Linked DNA regions of Callithrix jacchus. Each later gene encodes a partner of the first gene's protein in a complex. Links are inferred from orthologs where the notes say so. Each region holds a gene or a part of one and is shown in the gene's direction. Other genes may lie near its edges. The genes, in order: KIF11, RBM10 and MYSM1.

What was found.
Region 2: KIF11 (region 1) and RBM10 share a complex: the UniProt entries of both Homo sapiens proteins name them as parts of the large chromatin remodeling complex. The link is inferred for Callithrix jacchus from reciprocal best matches to the Homo sapiens genes KIF11 and RBM10.
Region 3: KIF11 (region 1) and MYSM1 share a complex: the UniProt entries of both Homo sapiens proteins name them as parts of the large chromatin remodeling complex. The link is inferred for Callithrix jacchus from reciprocal best matches to the Homo sapiens genes KIF11 and MYSM1.

What each region holds. Positions count from the first base shown.
Region 1 is NC_133513.1:85,333,579-85,337,956, forward strand, and holds the start of KIF11 (kinesin-like protein KIF11), read left to right. Parts: upstream 1-1,548; 5' UTR 1,549-1,775; coding exon of another isoform or gene 1,776-1,846; coding exon 1,847-1,852; intron 1,853-4,378. UniProt on the Homo sapiens protein: Motor protein required for establishing a bipolar spindle and thus contributing to chromosome congression during mitosis. Required in non-mitotic cells for transport of secretory proteins from the Golgi complex to the cell surface.
Region 2 is NC_133524.1:48,107,416-48,111,582, forward strand, and holds the start of RBM10 (RNA-binding protein 10), read left to right. Parts: upstream 1-1,307; 5' UTR 1,308-1,533; coding exon 1,534-1,603; intron 1,604-3,415; coding exon 3,416-3,557; intron 3,558-4,167. Other genes in the region: NDUFB11 (NADH dehydrogenase [ubiquinone] 1 beta subcomplex subunit 11, mitochondrial), read right to left, coding at 538-744. UniProt on the Homo sapiens protein: Binds to ssRNA containing the consensus sequence 5'-AGGUAA-3'. May be involved in post-transcriptional processing, most probably in mRNA splicing. Binds to RNA homopolymers, with a preference for poly(G) and poly(U) and little for poly(A).
Region 3 is NC_133508.1:95,767,423-95,771,011, reverse strand, and holds part of MYSM1 (deubiquitinase MYSM1), read left to right. Parts: intron 1-12; coding exon 13-773; intron 774-3,589. UniProt on the Homo sapiens protein: Metalloprotease with deubiquitinase activity that plays important regulator roles in hematopoietic stem cell function, blood cell production and immune response.

The sequences.
Region 1 (4,378 bases):
TTATTGCTCTGTCGCCTACGCTGGAATAATCTAGTGGCATAATCCCGGCTCACTGCAGCCTTGATCTCCTGTGTTCAGCGTTCCTTCCGCCTCAGCCTCGTGAGTAGCTGGGAGAACAGGCACGCACCACACCTTGCTATTTTTTCCCCCATTTTTGTTGTTGTTGTTGTTGAGATGCAACACTGTGTGTTGGCGGCAGTGGTGGTGGTGTTCCTCCTATGTCGCCCAGTCTGGTCTCAAACTTCTGGCCTCAAGAATCCTCCTACCTCGGCCTATTAAAGTGTTGGGATTACAGGCGTGAGCCACCGAGCCCAACACTAATAATTCTTCAAGATTATTCTGGGCCAGGCGGGGTGGTTCACGCCTGTAATCCCAGCACTTTGGGAGGCCGAGGAGGGCGTGGGGGTGAGGGTCATCTGAGGTCAGGAGTTCGAGACCAGCCTGGCCAACATGGTGAAACCACATCTCTACTAAGAATACAACATAGCCAGGCGTGGTGGCATGCACCTGTAATCCCAGCTACCCGGGGGCTGAGGGAGACGGAGGTTGCGGTGAGCCGAGATCGCGCCACTGCACTCCAGTCTGAGTGACAAGAGCGAGACTCCGTCTCTTTCTTTTAATTTATTATTTTTTTTTTTGAGACGGAGTCTCGCTCTTGTTACCCAGGCTGGAAGTGCAATGGCACGATCTCGGCTCACCGCAACCTCCGCCTCCTGGGTTCAGTCAATTTTCCTGCCTCAGCCTCCTGAGTAGCTGGGATTACAGGCACACGCCACCATGCCCGGCTAATTTTTTGTATTTTTAGTAGAGACGGGGTTTCACCATGTTGATCAGGATGGTCTCGATTTGTTGACCTCGTGATCCACCCGCCTTGGCCTCCCAAAGTGCTGGGATTACAGACTTGAGCCACCGTGCCCGGCCCAATTTTTTTTTTTAAAGACGGGGTTTCACCATGTTGGTCAGGCTGGTCTGGAACTCCCGACCTCACGTGATACGCCCGCCTTGGCCTCCAAAGTGCTAGGATTACAGGCGTGAGCCAACACGCCCGGCCGGCTCCGTCTCAAAAAATAAAAAAAAGCCTATTTTGGTCTCTGCCTCCGGGAACGCGGCTCGCTTTGAACCTCTCCTGTGCTTCCATTCCCCTCTTAAAATTCAATAATAATTATAATCATGAGCGCTTACCATATATTCCAATCTATTTGCTTGCATAAACTCATTTATTCTCCCCATAAACCCTCTGAGATGGTTACTAGTATTTCCTCTCTGCAGATGAGGGAATTTTGGAATAGAGACGTCATGTAAGTTGAGTCACGGTACGCTGAAGTTCCACACTCCTCTCCTGCATCTCGGCTCTGGACTACTGAGTTCCGGAGCGAGCTGACAGACCTGCTCTTTACGTTACTGGAGGTCACGCCCTGAGGGCGGGGCTCCGGTGAGGACCCTGAGTCCCATGGTGCCGTGCGCGTCCGCGCAGCCATTGGTCTGGCTACTCGGCCCCTTTTTCAAATTGAGGCGCCGAGGCGTTTCTTGGTTTCTGGGACTTAGGGCGGAGACAAGATTGGTGATTTGGTGGCACCGGCTGGTGCGGGACCAACGCCACGGCTAGAGTACCGGGTGGAGAGCGGGGACGCCGAGCTGCGGGCGTCAATCCTCCAGGCCACGCCAGCGCCCGGCACGGGCCAGGGAGACTCAGGCTCCCGTCTGCCGCCAAACCCCTACGCGACCCACGGCGCCCAAGGCTGCGGCCAGGCGTTGATTTTTTGGCGGGGACCGTCATGGCGTCGCAGCCAAATTCGTCTGCGAAGAAGAAAGAGGAGAAGGGGAAGAACATCCAGGTGGTGGTGAGATGCAGGTAGGGAGAGGGCTGACAGGATTCCGAGCGCCCGGGCTTTGCTGCTGGGCCCACTCCTGCGCGGTTCGGGGAGAGGAGAGCGATTTTGTTTGCATTTCCTGAGGGTCCCAGTTTCTTTGTTGTCCGAGTTGTGTTCGATAAAAATGACACCCGGTTGTTGTGTGTGTCTGATTTTCGGGAGAAAATAGGATGTTTGATTTGATCACTGTTCCATACCGAAAAGTGCGTTCTTATTTTAAACTATAGTCAATAAAGATTTAGGTGTCACTTTTGTATGCTGCTTCATGTAGTCAGTTTGGAAGTAAGACTGAATACCTGTTTTGCAGATGGTTTAGCCCTTACGTTGGTATTACCACCTCTAAAAAGCAATCACTTATTATCTTTATTCTAGATGCAATATTTTCTTCATCCCTCCTAAACAATAAACATCTCTGTATGTAAACATTAAAAATTAAGTTATAAAGTAAGTTTATGCTTTTAAAAGATCAAGGCCATTTAAGCTAGTGTAAATTTCTGATTGTGCTGCAGTTTTCCTTTTCACCTGTTTATTCATAGACCAAATTAAAGGATTTTTCGAGATAAGGGGATGTGGAGGGGTGTTCGCCTCTCCCCTGACTGGTTTCCAAATAACTTCTTAATTTTAAAATGAGCTAGAAACTGTTGCTTAGTTAGAATTGACTTATTCAACTTTTTAGAGGCTCTCCGCAGTTTACTGAGTATGTGTGTTTTGTGTGTGTGTTTTTGTGGCTGTCGTTAACAGTTGCTGTTGCAACTTTTCTGTAAACCTTTCTAAACTAGGTGCAAGAGAGCAGATTTGGTGGCAATCCTAAGTCTGGCCAATGACACTTACCAGCTGTAATCTGGGCTTTCTGCTAGTAGTTGCTTGTTTTGAAGAATTTTATTTAAAAATGCAGTGCATATAACAAGTGCAAATTTTAAAATTATTTTGGTTGTTTAATAAAACCAGGCAATTATTACCTTTTCCGTGTGCCTTTATATGGTTTCTTTTTTTAATATTAGTTACAAAATACTTCAGACTTAGAAAAAGTTATTAAGAATAATGTAATAAACATTTTTGTTCATAACACAGATTAAGAAACAAAACAATCATTGCTGGAGCCCCCTCTTTCCCCTCTCCATCCCTTTTCCTCTGCTCACAGTTAACCATTATCTTGAACTTGATGTTTATGATCTGCATATATTTCAAACCTTGCCATAGAAGAGATTTATTTTATCATCGATGAATAGAATGGTACTTTGCTTGTGTCTTGTGTATTGTAAAAAAAAATTTACAATAATTTTTATGTAAAGAGTTTTTTTTTTCTTTTCAGATTAGCCTTTTTTTTTTTTTTTTTTAAGAAGGGGGTTTCTCCATGTTGGTCATGCTGGTCTTGAACTCCTGACCTCAGGTGATCTGCCCACCTCATCCTCCCAAAGTGCTGGGATTACAGGTGCAAGCCACCAGGCCAGGGCAGCCTTTTTCTTTCTTTCTTTCTCTCTCTTTCTTTCCTTCCTTCCTTCCTTCCTTCCTTCCTTCCTTCCTTCCTTCCTTCCTTCCTTCCTTCCTTCCTTTTTCTTTCTTTCTTTTTTTTTTTTGCATGCACTTAGGGCATATGCCTTCTTTCAAATAGCCTTCCTGGTACAAGTCTGTTATTAAGCTTTAGTAAATAGGCAACTTGGGATTTATGAGGTCCTTGGGTTGGCAAGCCTTTTCTGTAAAGGACTCGGATAAATAAATATTTATCCTAGAGTATTTTATTTAAATACTCTAGGCTTTACAGGTCATGTGTAGTTTATTTTTTTTTGAGACAGAGTCTTGCTCTGTCACTCAGGCTGTAGTGCAGTGGTGCGATATCAGCTCACTGCAGCCTCTGCCTCCCAGGTTCAAGCAATTTTCCGCCTCAGCCTCCCAGGTAGCTGGGACTACAGGTGCACACCACCATGCCTGGATAATTTTTGTGTTCTTAGTAGAGACCGGGTTTCACCATGTTGGCCAGGCTGGTCTCAAACTCCTGACCTCAGGTGATCCATGGGATTACAGGTAGGAGCTACCACACCCTGGCACATGTGGTTTCTTGCACATTATTTTCTGATCCTTTATTATTATTTTTAAAAAAGCCTTTAAAACTGCAAAAATCATTCTTAAATCTTTGGCAGGGCAAGGGCCAGGTTCAACCTACAGGTTAAAGTTTATAGACCCCTACATAATGTGCTGCTGGCTATCTTTCTTATACCCCTTCTATTCCCTCCCCTATTTTTTCCCAATTTAAAAAATTGTTTTCAAATGCACATAAAATTTACCATCTTAACCACCTTTAAGTGTACAGTTCAATGATATTAAATACATAATAATATTCTGCAGTCATTACTGCCATTCATCTCCATAACTCTTTTCATCATGAAAAACTGAAACTCTATACACATTAAACAATAACTCCCCATTTCCCTCTCCCCTCAACCCCTAACACCTACCATTCTACTGTCTATGATTTTGACTACTCTAAGTACTTCATGTGAGTGGAGTTG
Region 2 (4,167 bases), on another chromosome or scaffold:
TGAGTATAATAATAGTGCCTACCTTGAAACGGGGTTGTTTTGAGGATAAGATGAGTTAATCCACGTAGAGTGTTTAGAACACAGACAGGGGCCGGAGCAGTGGCTCACACCTGTAACCCCAGCACCTTGGGAGGCCAAGGCGGGAGGATCGCTTGAGCCCAGGAGTTCAAGACAAGCCTGAGCAACATCGCGAGATCTCGTCTCTAAGGAAAAAAAAAAAGGAACGCAGACGGCAACGAGCAACTGCCATATCAGTGTTTAGTATAATTGTTGTTGTATTATATTGCTTCTAATGTGTTTTGACTGCTGTCCACATGAGGTGTGGTTTCTGTCTGCAAAATAAAACCAATCCTGTCTCTGGCCCTGGAACCTTCGTTCGATACCCAGAGACAAAGGAGGACCACAAAGTAGGCAAAATTCCCACGTCTTCTTTCGCCGACCACGCAGTCCTCTACTGACTAAGAACGTCCTCTACAGCACCCCAACTGTCGCTCCCGGATTGACCCCTTCGGCGTTCCGTTTTCCCCTCCCTCTCACCGTCTCATAAAAGTTTTCGTCCTCGGTTTCTGGGTCCTCTTGCCATTCCACGGTCGGTTCCGGGGGCCGCTTTCCCGCCGCAACGGGTGGGGCGGCCACAGTCCTGGAGAAGGTGGATTCCCAGCGGACGCGGGCGGCCGGGAGCCCTCGCGTCGCCGCTGCCGCCCAAAGACGGCGAGCGGTCAAACCTAACAGCCCAGCCGCCATGACAGACGGTGCTGCAGGGGCTCAGGGGCGGAGACGGAAATGCGACTGTGCGCAACTGCAGTGGGTGCGAGCGCGACAATTATCGCTCCGTCCCCGCCCGCTTAATAGGTCCCAGATCTGATTTTGTTTTCTAATGAGGCAGGGCGTAGAGCAATCCTCTTTGCCTCCAGTTGTCATGGCTTTGTGGTGCCAACCATTCTCTCACTCTTTCGGCCAGGCTGAGAAATTTCTTATTGATTTCTTATCGATGGGGCTGCTAATTTCCTGGATAGGAAGAAATCGGTGACATTCGGGTTGGTACATTTCTCAACCAATCGCCCAGAGAGTTCCCTCGCCCTTTGGGGAAAGAGGTGGAGCTTCCGCTAGTCTTTCATCTTCAAAGGAAGTCAGGCTTCTAAAAAGCGGGCCCTGCCAGATTGGCCAATAGCTACTCCTTTTCTCGACTAGGGGAGCGTTCGCACAGGGTGTGAGGAGGTGGCAAGCGCTTACCAATCAGAGGAGGCTAGGGCTGGCCCCTGGCGGGCAGCGGCCAATCGCCGGGGCTGGCCAGAGCGCGCTTCCTTAGTAGGTGGATGGTGGTCGGAGCGCCGACTCCCTTCTTGTCGTCGCCATTTTGAGCTGATGACTGTGGCCGGCTGGCAGTAGGCGGCAGTGAGTTTCCCTGGGAGGGCAGCGCGCTTGGCGCTTCTCCCCTCCCCGCGATCTGCCCGCAGCCTCGGACTTGGTTGTTGCGCGCTCCGGCTCCGGCTGAGCTGGGAGAGTTGGAGGAGGTGGCGGCGGGCGGAGGTGATGTCTGGGAGCCCTCCCTTGACAGCCCGGGCCGAGAAGGTGAGCGTCGACGCTGGTCGTGGGGGCGGAGGTAAGGGGCCCGGGGCGGGGACGTAGAGGAGGCGCGAGGGCGGACTTCGGGCCGGGGGGATGCGTGGAACGGAGGGGTGCGTGCAATGTCTTAACCCGGGAGGGGGTGGTGTTTTTTTTTTTTTTTTTTTTTTGGTGTGAGCAAAGGCGCGTGCGCGACTGGGACACTGGCTGGGTGCACGCGGGTTGGGGGAAGGGAGGGACGGATGGGAGTGGGCTGCCGTGGATCACTGTGTCCGCTACACCGAAGTTTTTTCGTGGGTAAGCGGTTGTCTGCGACTTTGAGTTTGTGCATGGGCGAGGGATGCTGCTCTGTGTTAAATCTGGTGTGTATTGGTCCATGGGGAAATGTTCTGTGGTTCTGGTCTCTTTTCCTGGAGGATTGGAGGGAGGATGTGACTCTGGTCTTTACCCTTGGTGGGGGGTGTGTGTCTGTGACTCTGGTCCTTATCTGTGGGGCGGGGCTGGGGGGACGACTGTCTTGTGACTGGCCCAAACCCTCTTATTGGGTGGAGAGGGGGATTCAGGGAATGTGTGTGTGACTCGTTGCCGCTTCTTTTGGGGAGTTCCTATCTGTGACACTGATGCTTATCTGTGGAAAGGGGACCCAGTGTGTGTGTAACTGTGGCCCTTACTGTGGGTTCCTTCTGTGATGTGGGCCCGTAGTTATTTGAGGCTCGTGTCTGTGACTGGCCCTTGGCTGTGGTAGATGTTACTGTGTGACTCTGGCCCCTTTGCCAGAGTCTCTTGAGGGTTTTTGGATCTGGCTCTCAACCGCCAGTGCCTCTGGTGTGATTCTAACTCTTGCTCACCTGGGAGCAGGTAACTCGGGTTCCCTGTGGCTTGAGGAGGAAGAGAAAACTGGAGTGTGTGTATGTGCACGCATAGAGCAAAGGTGTGGCAGCAACCTAGAGTTAGGCAGGTGCTATTATTGCCTAGCTTTACCTGATCCCTATTCATAGGGTGGGGCCCGAAGATCTGGGATTCATCCTGACCTCTGGCTGGGTCACACGGTTCTCAGGACTCCCTAAGTTCTCACCATAGCCCTGAGGGTTGGATGAAGTGTTTGCTGCTCCATCCCAGTAGAGAACAGTGGTTCAGAACAGCCTCCAAAAGGGCCCCTTTTGCCTGTGGAAAATAGGCTTGAGCCCTGGGGAGACAATCACTTTGGGACCTTGCTGCACATAAGAGACAGGGCTCAGGGCTGAGCCATTTGCTGTGTGAGGGCCAAGGCTGTGTTGGCCAGGAGCCCAGGGAGGTGGCAGCTGTCTCGTTGCCAAGTTACCCCCTTCACACATACCCCCAAGAGCCTTTCATGGCCTTTTGCTTCCTTAAAGGGGGCAGCCAGCAGCTTCTTGGGAGGATGGGATGGTACCTTGGGGCCCAGGGAAGGAGCCTGGTGCGTGCGTGGGATCCCCATTGTTATCAGATCTTGCCTGATGTGCTGAATGTCAGCAAGACTTTCAGCACTGAGAGTCCCCTACCCCCACCCTGGGATGCATCCCCAGGCTTGAATTTGTCTACCTGTCTCAGGTGGCAAAGCCCTGATCACAATGTGTGTGGCATCGCCAGGTCTTTCTCCAAGATGCCCTCTGTCTGCTGAAGGCCTTGCTGTTTTCTAGGGCAGTGGGCTCTAGCCTCGTGTTTGTGAGGAAAGGAAGGAGCAGGCCAAGTATGTGGTACCTTCACATTATGATGCACAGGAGTGCTGGGATCTGGAAGACAAGGCGGAGAGCCTTGACAACAATCTTTGTCAAGGAGACCCTCTCTGCCCCAACTGCTTTGACCCCTTTCTTCCCTTCACTCTTCCCAGAGTCCCTGCAGGAAGAATCACCCAGGCTGGCAGATCATGGTAGCAGCAGTGGGGGTGGCTGGGAAGTGAAACGGAGCCAGCGGCTGAGGAGGGGCCCCAGCAGCCCCCGAAGGTCCTATCAGGACATGGAGTATGAAAGACGGTGAGTTATCTGTTCCCAGCCTTCCAAACAGCCTAGGCTTGCCTCTATGTGAGAATCGATCCAAGAAGGTGCTAGGATGGGGCTTCTGGGTAGAGGAAACAGCATAGCAGATGGGTTTCTTTTCAGCAGACAGGTATTTGGCACCTGTTGTGAGCCAGGACTTGTGCTAGGCTCTGAGAATGCAGTGATGAATGAGACATGAGATGCATCCTTCTCAATACTCAGGGTGTCACAGGGAGGCCATGCAGTTTACAGGTGGTTAAGAACACCTTGGTGGGTACCATGGTTGGATGTGAGGGTGGGAAAGGATCAAGAGAAAGGGAGGAATCAAAACTGACATCCAGATTTCCAGCTTGGACGACCTTGATATGTTTGTGTGGTACCGTTTAGCGAGGTGATGGCAGCCACTGGAGGAGGAGGAGGAGGAGCAGCAGCAGCAGAGCAACCCTATAGGTTGGGGCTATAGCTTGGGGTATGAGGGATGGGTGGGAATGGCGCCATCAGAGTCAGAATTTGCTCAGGACCACTAGGGAACAAGCCAGGTCAGGTAGTGGGAGACTCCAGGGACTGTGTGGGCTACAGTTGGCATGATACTTAGTTGGAATGGATA
Region 3 (3,589 bases), on another chromosome or scaffold:
ATTTTTAATAAGGTCAAATGCGGCCTGGAGAAAGAAACACCAAATCAGAAGAACGGCCATAATCTTCAAGTTATAAGTGAAAATAAAGGGACAAAGGCATGGACACCGTCATGTTTCAGGGGACGTGCTGATCCCAACTTGAATGCTGTAAAAATTGAAAAGTTATCTGATGATGAAGATGTAGACATCACAGATGAGGTGGATGAGTTGTCTTCTCAAATACCCCAAAAGAATTCTAGCAGTGATATCTCGTTAGATTTCCCTAATAGTAAAATGCATGAAACCAATCAAGGAGAATTCATTGCTTCTGACAGCCAGGAAATTGTCTTTTCTAAGTCTTCCAGGGACTGTCTTCAAAATGAAAAGCAAGACGAAACACTTTCAAGCTCGGAAATTACATTGTGGACACAGAAACAGAGCAGCAGTGACAAAAATTCAGTCAAATTAAATGATCAGAAATTTAATGAATTGATTAAAAATAGCAACAAGCATGATGGAAGGGGAATCATAGTTGATGCCAGGCAGTTGCCTTCTCTGGGGCCTTGTGAAATTCAGAACGATTTGAATGATAATGAAATGCCTTTTCATTCTTGCCAAATGGTAGAGGAAAGTCATGAGGAAGAAGAGCTTAAACCACCAGAACAGGAAATAGAAATAGATAGAAATATCATTCAAGAAGAAGAAAAACAAGCAATTCCTGAGTTTTTTGAGGGACGCCAAGCTAAAACACCAGAACGCTATTTGAAAATTAGAAATTACATTTTGGATCAATGGTAAGAAAGAGTTACATTTTAGATGTTGTTTTAAAAACCTGATATTCTGAAGTATTTTAATTAGGCCTATACAGAACTTAGAATTTTGCTAGTAAATCTAGAAATCACTTCAGTAGGGAAGATTTAAGATTTCTTGTGATGAAACTTTGAAAGCTTTAGTAAACATCACTTCTAACTATCATAATCCATCTTTTTGTCTATTCGTTGGATTGTGGGCCTGGTAAAAGGGACAAATGATTGTTTTATGAAGCAGTCTCCTAGGACAGTGTTAGGAAGATATAAAGAGAAAACTACTGTACGGGAAAAGGGAAATAATTTCTTCAAGTTTATCACGTTCTTTGAATACAAAGAAAAATTTGATGACAGGAATAGTATTAGATATAGCCAGATTGCAGAAACACTTCTTCTAAATAGTGATCCTAAATGCTTTTAACTTTGAACCTGTGGCAATAATGTGCTATTAGTTTCTTCAGCTTTATCAGGATACAGTTTTCTGATATATGAAGCTAATTCTCTAAATTGCCAGTACCACTTACTTTAATTATTTAATGAGGGATAGGGAATAAACCAAAAAATTTCCCACCTTATTATTCCCACTAGTTTGAATTTTTAAAAATAGCCTAATTAAGCCATCATTAAACATTTGTAATTGCTGGCTTGGCTCAGTGGCTCATGCCTGTAATCCCAGCACTTTGGGAGGCTGAGGCAGGCGGATCACTTGAGGACAGGAGTTTGAGACCAGCCTGGCCAACATGGTGAAACCCCATCTCTTCTAAAAATACAAAAAAAACAACAAAGAAACAAAAATGGGCATCGTGGCAGGTGTCTGTGATCCCAGTTACTGCTGCTGCACTCCAGTCTAGGAAACGGAGGGAGACTTCATCTCAAAAAAATTTAACCAAAACAGATTCATAATTGCTAACACTGTTTCAGAAGCTATCGAATTTTACAGGGCCATCTTTACAGAGAGTATCCTATTCCTTGAGCAGGGGTTCTGCTTTGCCTCTTGCTTTTTCTTTTGTACCAAAGCCTTCCAGTCCTATTGCAGTAACTTTCTGCTATAACCTAAAAGGGTTACCAAAGGAAAACATCTGGCTGTAATAAACCAGTAACCTTTATTTTGCCCACACAATATTAGTCACTGGTTTTTAAAGATGGCTATATTCTAATAGGAGGACTTTTGTTTTTTTTCTTGACTCTTATTTTACAGATGGTTGAGGTACTGAAAATACAACATGTGGGTCAGGGCGGCATCATAGTAAAGTATCCTTGTAAGGAAAACTCCTGACTTTACATAGTGCTTTATAGTTTTTAAATAGCTTTCCTCTGTCATCTTATTTGATTTTTTAAAACAATCCTGTAAAATATGCAGATGGTATTATATCTATTTGATATAGAATGATGCTGAGATCAGGAGAGGTTTAGAGACCTGCCTTTGATTTACAACCGGTCACTGACACATGAAGGACTTCAGTCCAAGTCTGGACTATAAATCACTCTTTTATTCCACATGGCCTAATTCCCACTATTAACAAAGACTAGTTAAATTAAATTTCTATTGGTAGCTACTTTTGTTTTTGGAAATAAGAGGGTGACTGGCCAAAATTTAAGGACCTTGAAATAATAGCTAACTCAAAAATGTCCGTATTGGCCAGGAGCAGTGGCTCACAACTGTCATCCCAGCAGTTTTCGAGGTTGAGACAGGAGGACTACTTGAGGCCAGGAGTTCAAGATTAGTTTGGGCAGCAGAGTAAGAACCTGTTTCTACAAAATTTTTTTTTTTTAAATCTTGGGCACGATGTTGTGTGCCTGTAGTCCTAGCTACTCAGGAGTCTGAAGCAGGAGACTCACTTGAGTCCAGGAGTTTGAGGCTGCAGTGAGCTGGGATCATGCCACTGTACGCTAGCCTGGGCAACAGAGCAAGATCTGTTAAAAATGTCCATATGAATGATCAGTGTATACTTAATTGTTACTTTAATCAAATTCTATATTTGTTACTTTGAATTTTGGATTCCAAATGAGGCAGAATAATTTATATAGGTACTGTAAATTACAAGCCAGTAGTTTCCTAAGTCATTTGCCTTGGTTCATGAAACTGGTTAGGTATTGCTATTTTATTATGGTGATTTAGCAGAACAGTGTGAAAGCAAAAAGTGTTTTGAACAGGAACTCACATCTGTTCAGAAATAGAAGACAGTGAGTGGGTTAGGGACTGGAGGTGGTGTTAAAAAAATAGATGGAAGAGTTAAAGTTTTAAAATAAAAAGAAGCCTGCCAGATTTGTTTATAGATAAAAGATCCTTGTCATAAAAGCAGATGCAGTTGATTCTCTGGTTAGGGGAATATTTTTATTAAAATAGTAATTAGTACCATGACTGAATGCCTCCCAAATACCATGCACTGTATTTAAATCATCTCCAATCCTTTTGACAACCTCATTCTCATTTTATAGATAAGAAAAAATGAGGCTCACAGAGGATAAAAACCTTGTTCCAGGTCACACTAGGTAAAGGGGATATTGGAGTCTTTAGTCTTGACTCATTATTTTCACACTTCCAACTCAGGGCCTTGACCCTGACTTTTTACTGGATGTTCTTCCCCCATATTTTGGCAAGTGTTGCTTTCTTGTTGCATTGAAGTCTGGTCAAGGGAAACTAGAGGCTTATCTAAAGTATCTCATGTATCTCTTCCCTTTCATTCTCTTTTTCTGTGTTATAGTTTCTTCACAGAACTTATTACTACCAAAAATATTACATTTTCATTTGTGTATTGTCTCTTCTCCCCTCAACCCCCTTATTATGCAGGCAACACGAGGGC